Oryctolagus cuniculus: one gene and its partner. The protein of the gene in region 1 purifies or fractionates together with the protein of each later gene. This does not show direct contact. Links are inferred from orthologs where the notes say so. Each region holds a gene or a part of one and is shown on either strand. Other genes may lie near its edges.

The links.
Region 2: the proteins of COP1 (region 1) and ETV5 purify together in Homo sapiens (affinity purification with mass spectrometry; 6 studies listed by BioGRID and IntAct, counting the BioPlex papers as one, with this or other methods). This does not show direct contact. The link is inferred for Oryctolagus cuniculus from reciprocal best matches to the Homo sapiens genes COP1 and ETV5.

What each region holds. Positions count from the first base shown.
Region 1 is NC_091438.1:4,384,912-4,392,412, reverse strand, and holds the start of COP1 (E3 ubiquitin-protein ligase COP1), read left to right. Parts: upstream 1-2,879; 5' UTR 2,880-3,155; coding exon 3,156-3,571; intron 3,572-7,501. UniProt on the Homo sapiens protein: E3 ubiquitin-protein ligase that mediates ubiquitination and subsequent proteasomal degradation of target proteins.
Region 2 is NC_091435.1:95,816,031-95,823,502, reverse strand, and holds the start of ETV5 (ETS translocation variant 5), read left to right. Parts: upstream 1-2,572; 5' UTR 2,573-2,724; coding exon 2,725-2,731; intron 2,732-4,346; exon of another isoform or gene 4,347-4,374; coding exon 4,375-4,493; intron 4,494-4,619; coding exon 4,620-4,707; intron 4,708-4,828; coding exon 4,829-4,876; intron 4,877-4,979; coding exon 4,980-5,030; intron 5,031-7,472. Other genes in the region: uncharacterized protein, read right to left, coding at 928-1,503, 2,447-2,476. UniProt on the Homo sapiens protein: Binds to DNA sequences containing the consensus nucleotide core sequence 5'-GGAA.-3'.

The DNA of each region.
Region 1 (7,501 bases):
TAATAATAGTTTCGTAAAATCATCTTAATCAGTGATACACTTTACCAACCTCCAAGTATTTCTCTCATGTACTCAACTTTCTTTTGAGCCTCAGCCTTGAATTTTCAACCACTTCCTGTATATACTTACCAGAATATTTTCTCATCCAATAGTGAACACATTCAAAACTAAATCACCACTGGGTGTCTCCAACTCTAGCATCACATTAGCAAGAGTTATCTTTGGAGTCATTCTTTACTCTTGGTCACCATAGTGGCCACGGTGCCATGCACTGAGAAAGACAGTGAAGACATGACCAGACTTGGGTCATGCCTTCAAATTTCTTAGATTCTTTTACAGAGTTAACGTAACACTATGGCAACTTTAGCTTTTTTCTCAGAATATTTTACTTTCCTCATCAGTGACCTAATCTAGAATCTTATCATTTATTATTGATTGCTGTAATTTTTTGAGTCTTTTTGCTCCTAAACTGCCACCTCATTTAAAATTAATCCACCAAAAATTTAAGCCTTCAAAACAACCATTTTAAAAACTTTTTATTTCAAAATAGTTCTAAATTTACAAAACAGAAATTGTGGAGGTGTACAGAGTTCCCATATACCTCAAATTCAGGTTCCCCATTACATTTTTTTAAAATATATTTATTTATTTATTTGAAAGTCACAGTTACACAGAGAAGGAGAGGCAGAAGGGGAGAGAGAGAGAGGAGAGAGGAGAGAGAGGTCTTCAACTCGCTGGTTCACTTCCTAGTTGGCTGTGACAGCCGGAGTGGTGCTGATCTGAAGCCATGAGCCAGGAGCTTCTTCTGGGTTTCCCATGTGGGTGCAGGGGCCCAAGGACTTGGGCCATCTTCTACTGCTTTCCCAGGCCATAGCAGAAAGCCGGATCAGACGTGGAGCAGCGGGGACTCGAACCAGTGCCCATATGGAATGCTGGCACAACAGGCCCCAGCTTCCCCTATCATTAACATCTTACATACTTGTCACATTTTTTAAAAATTCTGGTTAATGCTTTCTTGTTCTCAATTGTTTATTGGCTATTTTTCAGACTAAATTTGAGGTCTTGATGATATAGTCTCCAGAGAAATTTCTCCTAGAGAATTGTTCTTTCTCTATCAGAAATCTGAATTTGCTGAAAGCTTGTCTCTAGAATGATAACTTTATACTTTTTGATTAACCAAGCCATATTTTTCTCTTAAGGCCTCCAGCAAAAGGGCTGGCCCTTTATATATGCTCTTGCTCCAAACTCCTATGGTGACTCTCTACTTCACCTGCTAAGCATTTAGCATGTGCTCCTTGATATTATTACCTTTATTCCTAATTCTTCAATTATTCCATTGGTTTCTTAAATGCAGAAACAATGTTTTTATAAACTTTTTCTTTCTAGCAATCCAGGCTTAACGCATAGTGAGCATTTAATAAATCTTCACCATCAATTTACTTATGCATTCCCTCATCAAATAATTACTGAATGCCCCATATGGTACTTGCTTTCATAGGCTAATAATTTAGCTGGAAATACAGATGTTAAATAAAAATGAGATGATCAATAGGGTTATTCATGGTAACACAGAAATGTTTAATGCAGACCTATCACAGGTCAGGCACGAGCACAATATAAGCTGAAAGCTGACACGGCTGATGGAGGTCGCATGTAAAGCACTAAAATGCAACGTTACAAGGGCAAACGGAATATCCTGGTTGCACAAAGGAGGGTGCAAAGATCTCTGCCACTTCACGCTTCCACTGGGTCTTGAAGGAGAACTTTAAACAACAATTCGGATGATGCAAGACTTTCTTGCAAGAGCTGTTTTCAGAAACCTGGAAAGCTCGTTCCTACATCATCTGAGCAAAACCCTGAGCTCAGCCCACGAAGCTGGGACTAGGATGGCAGGTGCCTGGCGATGGCTACTGCCCAGGGCAAAGTCCCGGTCGGCGCTGCTGGGGCTCTCTAAGCCTTTCCTCGGCCCTGCCCGCCAGCATGGCCAGTTATTCCCAGAGAAAGCCCCTCGGTGCCAACAGACTTTGTCAGCACCAGGACAGAGCAAATCTGGCATCTTCCAGAATGTTAGGGATTCTCAAGGGCGGCAAGTAAGAGAGTCCGCCGTTTCCAATACTCAAAAAAAAAAAAAAAAAAAGCCTACTCCAAAGTGCACATTTCTAACGGGGCCACGGGCCAGGTTTCCTCGTTTCGTGCTACAACTGCAACAGGCCAATGTTAAGCCGGGATTCTGACACAGCTGTCTTCTGGTTAAGCACCACGCGGTTTCCCATTGTTGCCGTGTTAAATTTAGTAAACTCTTCAAAATACGGGAGCGAAACCGGGAACGCCTGCCATGACGTTTGCCATTCACCAGCTGTCACCGGCGACGCTGGGGAAAAGCGATTCACCTCAGCAGAGCCAGCCCGGCGACCTCTACAGCTGCTCCACGCTTCTCGGCTCCTTCCGTGCGCCCCCAGACACCTGCGCCCTCGCCACCGAGCCACACCGCCCGCCTCTGAGGAGACAGCCACCACTCCCACCGCGCCTTCCGGAAGGCGGTGCGCCCGCCCGCACGCACGCACGCATGCGCGATGCGGCCTCCGCGCGGCCGCGCCGGGGTCGGGCACCCGGGGTGCCCCGCGAGCGTCGGCGCCTCCGGCGGGCGCGCGTGCGCAGTCGCTTTCCCGAGCGCTTCTCCCCGCCCCTCCGGCCGTCCGTCAAGCCGCCGCGCCACCCCTCACCATTCATCCCACTCCTCTCCATCCCACCAATCCAAGAAGGCCCTCGCCTACGTCAAGAACGAACGCCGCTTTCGACCGGGGAGTCTCCGGCCGAGGACGCTCCCGGAGTTGTAGCGCGCGCCGCGCCCGCCCCTTCCGCCGCGCACGCGCACGCGCACGGCCGGCCACGACGCGCCGGGGTTGGCGGCGGCCGCGAGGGCGGCAGTGGCTTCGACGCCGCTCGACGAGTTTCCTCCGCCCCCTCCCGTCGCGCGCTGGTGTGTGGTTGCCTTTAAAAAAAAAAAAAAAGAAAAGAAAAAGCCAACTTTATTGTTCCTCGCCCCACCTCCCGGCGCGGCGCGCGCCCTCAGGATGCACTGAGGCGGGGCGGGGAGGCGGCGGAGGGTCGCGCTCCCTCGGCCCCCAGCGCCGGCCGCAGGGGCGGCAGTCAGGATGTCCAGCAGCCGCCAGGCCGGCTCCGGCTCCGCGGGGACGAGCCCCGGCTCCTCGGCGGCCTCCTCGGTGACTTCCGCCTCCTCGTCCTTAGCCTCTTCCCCGTCGCCCCCTGCCGCGGCGGCGGCGGCGGCGGCGGCGCTGGGGTCCGGCGGGGCCGCGCAGGCCGCGGGCTCGGGCGGCCTCGGGGGTCCGGCGCGGCCTGTGCTGGTGGCGGCCGCCGTGTCGGGCGGCGGCGGCGGCGGCGGGGCGGTGTCGGCGGGCCTGTCCCGGCTCAGCTGCGCGGCCAGGCCCAGCGCCGGCGTAGGAGGCAGCAGCTCCAGCCTCGGCAGCGGCAGCAGGAAGCGACCCCTGCTCGCCCCTCTCTGCAACGGGCTCCTCAACTCCTACGAGGACAAAAGCAACGACTTCGTCTGGTGGGTTTGAAGAGCACCCCGCTTCCCGCTGGCGAATTCGGGAGTTCTGTGCCTGGGGCCGGCGGGCTGCAGTGCGGGAGAGCGCGGGATGCTGGTGCAGAAGTGGCGCCTGCAGCGGGATCCGATGCTTTGCAGACACGTTCCGGCTCGGGGGTGCTGGGGTGGGCAGTGCGGGCGTCCCGAGGCAGGGTCGGCCGCAGCAAGAGAAAGAGGCGCTGGGGAGTAGTGCACGGGGGCGCCGGGAGGCGTGCAAGGTCAGGTCAGTGGTCGTTGCTACCAGGAGAAATTTGGGCGAGGAGGTGGGGTCTGGAACGTTTTGGCTGTTTGGTGACCCGACAGTACCCGTGGTGGTGAATTCAATTTGCCAAGGGAGAGGATCTTTCCTGCTGGGATGCTGAGGGATGGAGTTGGTCAGAATGTCCTCAGAGGAAGTGTGCTGGATGATGCCCTGAACATGGGTGTGGGTGTTTTAGGAAGAGGGGTTTAGTGCAAGCACCCATCGTGTGTGAATATAGATATCTCTCCTTTTCCATCTCAATGGTTAAGGCGATTAGTTTTAAATCTGCTCTTGAGGCTACAGCAGCCAGTCTGTGCACAAAAAAATTCCACTTGTCAGGTGGGTTTCTTGAAAGAACGAAGCACGTTGATGAAATATTATCCGTGGGTCAGGTGTAATTGTTTTACACTGTATAACTGAGTACACGGAAACTTGAGTGATTTGAAATGCTCCGTGTAGACATTTTGTCATCATGGTTGCATCTTGAATGATACACAGTAACATGTGGTTGTATTTGACTCAAAGGCGATTTGGTTACTTTCAGTGAAGGGTGAAGTTCATTGTCTTGCTGAGTCCGTTTTGGGGTTTTCATTAGGCTGTGCTTACTGTTGGTAGGATTATGAGACAGCAGCAGTTTTTAGCTGATTAAGAACCGACAGGGATTTGTGCCCTTCCTGCAGGAAGGCTCGTTGATAGAACTTTCAGTGAGTGTAGGAAGTTGGCTTGCACATTCATGGGGGAAGTTGAAGATAATCGGAATTGTCAGTAAGCATGATAGGGCTAGAAATGGAAATGATCGGGAACATTCATTGATTAGATGTGCAGACAGATTCTTGTTCCTGCAGAAGGATTACATCCTTATTCATAATTCTGCTTTTATTCTGGATTCAAAGTTAGTTCATTTTTAAATTGACACTGGGCTATACTTGGGATTGTTGTTCATAAATAAGTTGAACAGTCTGTGGCTGGGTCTAAGAGTTGCTTGCCTTCCCTCCCAGTCCCAATAGAGCCACACCATGAGGTAAAAGATAATAAAATAGTGGGAGTCTGCAGAATTTAGTTGTCTTTGTAAACACTATTTGCTTTTCAGTTTTCAATAGACTAAAAGAAAACAAACATGTCAGCATCTGTGTAGATCACTGAAATAGTATGGAAGAGGTGAGAAATAAGGGAAGCAATCATTCAGTCACTCAACAGATAGTTGTTTTTTAACTTTTATTTAGCAAATATAAATTTCCAAAGTACAGCTTATGGATTACAATGGCTTCCCCCCACCCCCCATAATTTCCCTCCCACCCGCAACCCTCCCATCTCCCACTCCCTCTCCCATTCCATTCACATCAAGATTCATTTTCAATTAACAGATAGTTATTTGACATTTGCTTTTTGCCAAACACCCTATGAGTTTCTGTGTACTGTAAAATACGTTGTAGGAGTAGATGGCACTGATATTTAATTAGTTTAAAATTTTATTAAAATTTTTATTTATCACTTAAATTTTTTTAAAGATTTATTTATTTGAAGGTCAGAGTTACACAGAGAAGAGAGGAGAGGCAGAGAGAGAGAGAAGAGAGAGGTCTTCCATCTAATGATTCACTCCCCAGTTGGCCACAACGGCCGGAGCTGCGCTGATCCGAAGCCAGGAGCTTCTTCCAGATCTCCCACACGGGTGCAGGGGCCCAAGGACTTGGGCCATATTCTACTGCCTTCCCAGGCCACAGCAGAGAACTGGATCAGAAGTGGAGCTGCCAGGTCTCAAACCGGCACCCATATGGGATGCCAGCGGCGCTTCAGGCCAGGGCATTATCCTGCTGTGCCACAGCGCCAACCCCAACTTTTAAAAATTTCAATCTAGTTTTGAGTCCTAACCATGTTGCCTAGACTATTGATTTCTAGTGTGGAAACATCCAATGAAAATATTTAGGTAAAAACTCTGAATATTTCACTTTCTGTCTAGGAATCTCTTTTGTCTGTTGCTTCTTTATCTGGAAAATTTGAATATTCAGTGGAATTAACTAATGAGAGACCGTTTTCTGTTTCTTAAGCCAGATTTGCTCTTGGCCAAACTCTTGGGATAAGAGGATATGAATTAGGCAAGGCCCAAGGAATCCTTTTCATTTCTGATTGGCTCTGGTGGTTGGTTGGTCTGGTCTTGTATGCCTCAAGGTCAAACTGTTGACCAATTCAAATTACTCTGCACCTTTATATCCAAGTGAGGTCAAGTTCAAATAATAATGATGATTGCTTATTCGTCTATAGCACATTTTAAGCATAGGCTTATACTTAACATTTCATTTTATTCTTACAGCAGTTCTGTGAGCTTACAGAGAACTTGTCTTTTAAAAATACAATTGCTGGCCGGCGCCGCGGCTCACTAGGCTAATCCTCCGCCTTGTGGCGCCGGCACACCGGGTTCTAGTCCCGGTTGGGGCACCGGATTCTGTCCCGGTTGCCCCTCTTCCAGGCCGGCTCTCTGCTGTGGCCAGGGAGTGCAGTGGAGGATGGCCCAGGTGCTTGGGCCCTGCACCCCATGGGAGACCAGGAAAAAGCACCTGGCTCCTGGGTCCTGCCATCGGATCAGCGCGGTGCGCCGGCCGCAGCGCGCCGGCCGCGGCAGCCATTGGAGGGTGAACCAACGGCAAAGGAAGACCTTTCTCTCTGTCTCTCTCTCTCACTGTCCACTCTGCCTGTCCAAAAAAAAAAAAAAAATACAATTGCTTTTGAAGCACAGAGAAGATAAGTAGCTTTCTTTTAGATTGGGCAGCTCAGGAACAAAATGAAAACTTGCATCTCAACATTGTTAATTTAGAACTTTCTTTGAATGTAGTTAGAGAATTTTAGATCTGTAAGTTAAGGTACTTGTATCTAGCCATCTAGCCCAGTGATTTTTTTTTTTTAAGATTTATTTATTTATTTGAAAGAGTTACACAGGGAGAGAAGGAGAGGCAGAGAGAGAGAGAGAGAGAGGTCTTCCATCTGCTGGCTCACCCCCCAACTGGTGGCAAAGGCCAGAGCTGCACCAATCCGAAGCCAGTAGTCAGGAATCAGGAGCTTCTTCAGGGTCTCCCACGTGGGTGCAGGGACCCAAGGACAGGGGCCATCCTCTGCTGCTTTCCCAGGTCACAGCAGATAGCTGGTTCGGAAGTGGAGCAGCCAGGACTCGAACCAGCGTCCACATGGGATGCTGGCACTGCAGGCAGCGGCTTCACCCACTATGCCACAGCACCAGCACCCCAGTGGTTCTTAAAATGGGGTAGATAGAGCGAAGCAGCTATTTCATTCACATGAGATATATATTTTTATCCTTGACCACTCCCTCTCCCCATTTGTCCACATCCCTAGATACCACAGTCAGAATTGGAGACAGGATTGAGCAGCTATGTCTTCCTTCCTAAGAACAGTTAGTTTAAATAAAGTCACATGTACGTTCAGATGCACACACTGACCTCTCATATTTGAAAACAAGTTTATATTTAGCTGCAGAATTAATGTTTTGGGGATTTATACTTTGTATTTTAATATTTAATAAGGATTGGAAGTATGTTAAAATGTGGGTACCTATAGATGGGGAATCTGTGGTACAGGGATGAGTAGTATTTAGCTTTACATTGACTAAATTTTCAGCATTCACAAAATGTCTTTGTTGCCTTGGT
Region 2 (7,472 bases), on another chromosome or scaffold:
GGACGGCGCCGCCGAGGCCTCCCCGGGAGGGGGCAGGGGGCGCCGGGGCAGTAGGGTGCTGTTTGGTTTGCGCCTTGGAACTCCCAGTGAAAATTCTCGGCGACGGCACTTAGTGCTCTGTCGTGGAGCGAGCAGGACCGCCTCTCGTGCTTCCCAGCTGCAGGGATCTGATTCGCAAACACACCATCTTGCAGTCAACGCTCGAACGGAAAGCAGGCGGCCGAGCTGCGTGCCAGCCTCGGAGTGATCCGTTTCCGGGTGGGGGAACCGACGGGAGCGGACTCCGGAGAGGACGTGTGAGAGCCCCGACCCTCCCTCACCTCGGCTCCAGAACCCACCCACCCGGAGCCAGTGGGGTTTGCTCGGGCCTTGGGCCTTGCCAGCATGAGCCAGTCACTAAAATCTGTTCGAGACCCAGACTCAATGGACGCTGCTGCTTCTTCCCACTGGAAACGCAGGCCTCTCCTAATGGTGGCTGAGATTAGAGGGCTCGGTTTCCGTTCTCCGTGTTTCTGTGGGCCCGACGCCCGGCTTGGTCGGCGAGTTTCAGTGTGTGTGTGTGTGTGTGTGTGTGTGTAATGACGAATTCCTCTCGCCTGATTCTAAAACCATAACTTCGCTGGGTGCTGCAGCTGCGATGGTCTGGCGCCAAGCGACCCAATCCAGGCCGGAGGGAGAAGTGGGGGTGAGTGGGGAAGGGGAAAGAGCCGAGCTTCGGCAAAGTGGGAAGTAACGGCGGCTCCGCCCGGCCTCTGCCCCTTTAAGTGCTTCACTGACTCAGCTAAGCTTCCCCCTCAGGTCGCGTTTTTTATGAATGAAAAACGTCCTTACATTCATTACATAAACAAGCCTGTGCTGATTGGCTAACGGCCCCCGGTGCATAAATTATGTAAAACAGACCCCAGAGTGGGGTGGAGAGAGACGTACCGTTGGCCAATGGGAGCCGGAGTTGATGGGGCGGCTCGGCTGGATTTGCCCGAAGACAGGGTAAACAAGAGGTGATGGACAGCCGCGGGAACGGCCTCGGGCCAATGGGAACAAGGGTGGGTTAAGGCCGCAGGCCAATGGCGGCGGGCGAAGCAGTGGGCCGCTGGGGGCCGGGCCAGCCGCTCCAGCCTGGTTGGCAGCTGCGGCGCAGAGTCCAGCCGCTGGTGTGCGGAGCGGTTCAGTCTCCGGAGCGGTTCGGCCCAGCCATTCGTCCAGGCGCCCAGGCCCGGTGCGCGCGTGCGTGAGCGCGCCTGCGCCGCCCGGGCCGCTGCAAGGGGAGGAGAGCGGCAGCCTCAGGTGTGGGGGCGTTGCGGGGACAGGGGGGCATCGGAGGGGGTGTCCTGTAACGCGTCCGAACGGCCCAGCTGGCGAGAGTTCGCGGGCTGTTCCTCCATCCTCAAACTCGGGGTGCACATCTGGGGTGAGTCCCCCGGGGCTGGCTGACCGACAACCCCCCACCGCCGTCCCCCGCGGCCCGGTCCGGTTCGGTTCCAGGGAGGCGTCGGGCGGGGGCGGCTAACGGTTCCGGAGCGCGAGAGGAGCGGGTTCCGCACGTCGCTGGGGAGGCGCGCGGGAGCGCGAGGTGCGGGGGCTTCAAGGTGGAGATGGGGAGCGCCGAGTTGCGGAGCTTTGCAGTCTCTGGAGATCTGAGCCCCGAGGGGACTTGGAGGCTCGCGAGAAGAGACGCTTGGCGGAGCTTTGCAGCTGGGGGGTGGGGTGGGGGAGGAGTGCGTGAGGGCCACTGCCCCCCCAACACCCAGAGAAGGTTAGTGACACCGGAGGGTGTAGCCTTCGGGGTGGGGGTCGGCCAGGAACTTCTGCAGGCCTTGCAAGTTTCAGGCTGTGGAAAGTGGACGCTCAGCCCCGTCTGCCCCCATCATCAGTAAGCCGAGGGCGTCGGGCTGCGCAGCGACTCCCGAGGAAAATCGGGGAGCCCCCGAGCAGCGGCCTGCGGAGGGTGTGGGGGAAGCGGGTGCGGAGGGGGATGGAGCGATGCTGGAGCCTCGGGCTGGATTAGGAGACGGGCCGAGTCTTCGGACGAGCCGGGCCTCTGGGGGGAACGGAACTCCCGGTCGAGGAGGGGGTGCCGAAGAGCGATGTGTGGATCTGGGGGGGTGGGTTGGAGGCGCTTGGTAGCGCCCGGCGCAGCACCTCGTTTTATGAATGTCGGCGACTTGATGAATGAAGCGGGTTTCTTTCGTTGGCTCGCTGCTCCCTGCGGCTTTTTTTTTTTTTTTCCTTCCCTCTCCCCCTTTCCCTTTTTGTGAATGAAGCATTGAGCTCTCTTCCTAAAACGCTGGGGTGAGGGGCCTGCGTCGGAGGCTGGGCGTGCGTTGGGAGTGGGGGTGGGGGCGCAGCTGAAGGAGTTTTCATGAATGGGGAAGGCTGGGAATTGGGTGGAAGTGTGTCTTGTTTTGTGAATGGGGCCCAGCGCGAGGGATCCAGTTACAGCCTCTACCTGAGGTGGCGGCCGCGGCTCGCTCTCCATTCATAAAACCGGGCCCGCTGCGCGCCGCGGGGGAGGGGCTCGGCCGCGCCGCAGCGCTGAGTTAAAGTTTTCCTGGGGGCGCCGCGGGGCGGGGGCGCGGGAGGGGGAGCGCAAAGGAAGTGGCTTACACTCCTGGATGGACTCGAGCCTTCCCTTCGGGCGCATAGCAGATACTTTGAACACGGCGTTGCTAGCCCTTGAACTCCGGAGGCTGCTTTCAACTCGACGCTGCTTTTTGTGGTTCGCTCATGGCAGGTCTTTTTTATTTTTTCTTTCCCCTCTTAATTTCATCTTTACAAATAGATTTGCCCTTCAGGGAGAAGTATTTTATCGTGATATTCTGAAAGTGTCTCCCCTCTGGTGTCCTGCCCCACCCCAATAGACGCTGACAGAATTTCTAAAGCCACGATTTAACCAGGCAGATTTTCCGCCGGAGACAGAGAGCTCTTTCTGGTTGCCCCTTCGCTCACTTCTGAGATTTCTCGCGTTTTGTGTACGGGTTGGTGACATGTGAGAACGAGGCTTTATCCTGAACTCTTTTGCGCTGTTTGGAAGGCAGGCGGGCAGGCTGGCCCCGGGTGTTTTTCTAGGAAGTTATAAACTGTGTGCTGTTTTGCTCCTCTTTCTTTTGACTTTGAAAATATCTGATTACTTGGGCCAGCGTGCTGAGGAGGAGGCTGGCGGTGAAGGGTTCTCTGGTATCCTGCTCACTTTCGAAAATTTGAGATGCTCCACGCAGTGTGAAAAACAGATTGGATGGAATTGCCCGCTGGGAATAAAAAAGTTCCCTGTTTAAAATTCGTGTACAAATTAAACAAAAGAAACCCTTACTGCCTTGCTAGAGCTAGGCTGAGTGAAATTAATGCATTCCCCCATTTTGTAAGAACCTATGTTTTCATATGGAGAATAAAACGGAGTTCCAGAAGCTGGAACCTTTCTAAAATTACTATCACTTTGTTCCTCCAAAATTAGAGAAAGTTCTCTCGCCTCCCTTCTGATTCTTAACCTTTCTTCGCAGTGCTAAACATTCACCAGTGCTGAAATGAGTTTTATTTATTTCTTTGTTGATATGTCTGGGGAAATTGACTTCACTGTAAGAGACAAACTGAATGTTCTGCCATGGATGTTTCGCTTTAAGCATTTTTTTAAAAGACTTTTGGCACAGATGCACTTAAAATATGTGTAATGGAATTTAGTTTCGTTTATTACTTTTCACAGACTTTTATTCTGTCAGAAGTTGGTGATATCACAGATAAGTTACCATGGAGACAGTTTGTGATATTATAGACACTACAGGTACACCTGTTTGGACAGAAGGTTTAGATTTTAAATAAAGAATTGTGTGTGAAGAGCTTACCTCTGATCAACTTTATTCCTGGAACTATATATAGTATTTTACCACTGACCTACAAAATACTTTTAGAAACACCATGTATGTCAGGGTGTTAATTGCCAATAATTTGGAATACTTAAACCCAGTTTCTCTACTTCCTGTCACTGCACTATCAAAAATTAAATTATCTCCTTTTAAAACCCTGCCCTGGGGGATCTTGCATATGAGAGAAATTTGAAATCACCCTTTAATAATGAAATAAGGTCTTTTTCTTTTTCTGATGGGGGGACAGGCAGTACCAGAACCTTGACGATGATGATGAGAGAGAGGGAGAGAGAAAAGAAAGGAAATGGTGCTTGAGTAAATGGCATTAAGTCCGTGGTGCAGCTTTGATACCGTTAATCAAGCCTGCCATTGGTCTGTATAACTTACGCCTTGAGTGGGCTTTCAAGTACTTCAGAAAACGGTAGTGATTTGGCACAGGCCCTAAAGGAAAAAGTAGTGTAAAATTGCTTCGTTTCTCTCCCTGCCCCGCAGTTGAAGATCTCCCAAATTCCTGTTACAGGAGGATTTCCTTTGCCCCAGAAATTACTCAATGCTGAAACCTTTCAAAGCGGCATTAGAGACGTTGGAAGCATCATGGATGGATTTTATGATCAGCAAGTCCCTTTTATGGTCCCAGGGGTAAGTCCACGTGACGTTTGGTTTGTCTCATCCTCCCTGCTCAGTGATGAGTCTTCTCCATGCTGCTTCAACGGGTCGACCCCCTTTGACCTGTGTACCACACTCAGGTGTTCTGGCCTCTTTCAGAAATCCCGATCAGAGGAATGCCGAGGGCGGCCTGTGATTGACAGAAAGAGGAAGTTTCTGGACACAGATCTGGCTCACGATTCTGAAGGTAGTGAAGCACACCCCTCCTGTGTTGTGGCTTCCTCCAGTCACGCTCCCCCGCCAACCCCCCACCTTCTCCCAAGCAGAAGAAAGATCCTCATTCTGGGGTCTCCTGTTTTCAATTCCAGAGTTGTTTCAAGATCTCAGTCAACTTCAAGAGGCTTGGTTAGCTGAAGGCAAGTTTCTTGGCTGTTCTATTTTTCATCTAAAGCATTTCACTGTGCTTTTTAATAAAAAAAAAAAAAAATCCACGGTCTAAAATGAACATCTCTTTTGCAGCACAAGTTCCTGATGATGAACAGTTTGTCCCAGATTTCCAGGCTGATAACCGTAAGTGTCTCGCGGGGCTCGGGCGTCCGTTCTGAAGCGCGTATTTGATTCGGATCACCCAAGTCTGGGACAGCCTCAGCCAGAGCCCGCAGATTTTGCAAGTAGTTACTTGTGACAAATCAGAGCTAACCCAGAAAACTTGTTTTGTTCCTTATTGAAATGATTCCTAAAGTGCTTCTACTCCTTTGCAGGTGAGATTGACGGAACAAAATTCCACCCCACATTTCTTCCTGCTTTTACAGCTTTGCAAACCTTCTAGCTGAAAATTAAGTTTAACTGACATATATGATGTTGGACCAAGCATCTGTTCGCTAGACAGTATCTGACAGCTTTTGGGTTTGTTTTATAAATTAAGTCCTGGATGCAAATCACGAACCTGAGGTTTTCCGTTCTTTTTAAAGGTGCAGAAAGTAGTTCATGGGAAAATCCACTTAATTGTGGTCTCACGCAACGTGTTTGTTGTCAAACTCGTTTCTACTTCTAAGCTGACAAGGGGTGGTCGAAGAGTGACCTGACTGGCAGTTACTTTTCTCATAGTCCCCCCTGACTTTGCTGTTCCAAGAGTAGAAACATTTTTTTTTTGAATGGTCATTAAGTGCTTATTCCTCGAGATAATAAAATGCAGTGAGGAGCTCAAAAGATGGCTCTCAGTGCTGGCAGGGGCATCCTCAGCCTTCACGCACTGAATCGTCTGGGGCTGTCCTCCACAGGTTTGGAGGCTTTTGTGGTCCAGGCAGAGCTATCAAGGACAAAGCTGCCTGATGAAATTTGAGCAGCACAGAGCCGCTCTAGAGAGCATTAGTCACTGGCGAACGAGCAGGTTTAAGAGAGGCCTGGAGAAAATGCTGCCTCTCTTGAGAGTTGCATCATAGAGAAATTCGTGTCTCTTAGTCATAGTTTATAATAGCAAGCACCTGAGCCAGGCATGGATTCGATGTCTCATTTTTGCACCAGCAGATTCTTCCCAGCTTTGTTTTATCTCTGGGGTGTGTGCATAAAAATGCCAGTAGGAGACAGAGTATCTTTGGGTCTAAGTAAAGCTGGGTATTTTACATTTATGAAATGAAAGAACAGAAGTCCCAGCTAAACGTTCTTTAATGATAGGCCTCCTGTCCAAGGCAGAACGCCATGAAACTTTAAAAGGGATTAAACTGTAACCCACAGATGCTTGGTTACCTTAGCTTTGTCACAGCTTGCTCTGGGTGTTTTCTATAGGCAAGTAAATGAATTTTAATTATTGCCCTTTGATTGCTTTCAAGTAATTGGGATGCCTGCCACTAGAAGGCTAAATAAAGATAACTCAAATTATGTGTGTGTGCATGTGTGTGTATGTGCACACGATGAAAGACGGGATTTGTAATCCAGCTTTGTTCCCTGTTGACGGTTTGGCCAGTTCTTGCTCAGAGCAGCATCAGCTGCAGTCTGGGAGGTGGCTTTCTTGGCAGCGATTCTTTGAAATGCTTTTATGACACCTTGGTTTGTTTCTCTGGAACCCAAAAGAGAGAAAAGAGAGGTGTGACGCTATGTGCACATTGACCGCGTGGCCTGCAGCAAGGGCTGTGTTCCATAGAGAGATGTTAACAAGTAAGATTTGTACCTGAAGAGGTGTTTCTGTGTGGGAATGGGCTAAAGTGGAGAAATCAATAAAAGTGTTTTGGTTCCTTAGAAATAATTCCTACTCAGCGAATGGTTTATGCTAAGTTCTTTAATTAAAATACCAGACCTTAAATGGAGTTGCTTTGGGAGATGTTTCTGCTTACCAAGTATGACTTTTTTTTTAACCTTGTTTGCTTTTGCTTTAACTTCTTAAGGTTGAGCTTTCCTGTCTTTTAAGGATAAAACAGTATGTTGAGTAGCCTAGAAAAACCTTGTAATAATTCTTGCTTCCTCTGTGACTCATGTTTCTTGAGGTGGAGCTTGGAGAATAGATTCAGATAGATGACTTGCATGAGACGCTGGTCAAGAACAGAAGCGTGGGATGGCGCATTATCCAGCCATCTCCTCTGGCCACAGTGCTGAGCTGCAGTTCTTTTTTTTTTTTTTTTTTTTTTTTTTAAGATATTTATGTATTTATTTATTTGAGAGGTAGAGTTACAGACAGAGAGAGGGGGAGACGGAGAAAGGTCTTCCATCCGCTGGTTCACTCCCCAAAAGGTCACAATGGTCAGAGCTGGGCCGATCCAAAGTCAGCAGCCAGGAGCTTCTTCCTGGTCTCCCACATGGGTGCAAGGGCCCAAGCACTTAGGCTATCTTCTACTGCTTTCCCAGGCCACAGCAGAGAGCTGGACTGGAAGAGGAGCAGCTGAGACACTAACCGGCGCCCATATGGGGTGTCGGCACCACAGGTGTAGGCTTAGCCCACTGTGCCACAGCATGGGCCCCTGGACTGCACTTCTGACTGACAGAAGAGCTGGGGAGGAGCTGGCAGAGCCGGCAGCTGGG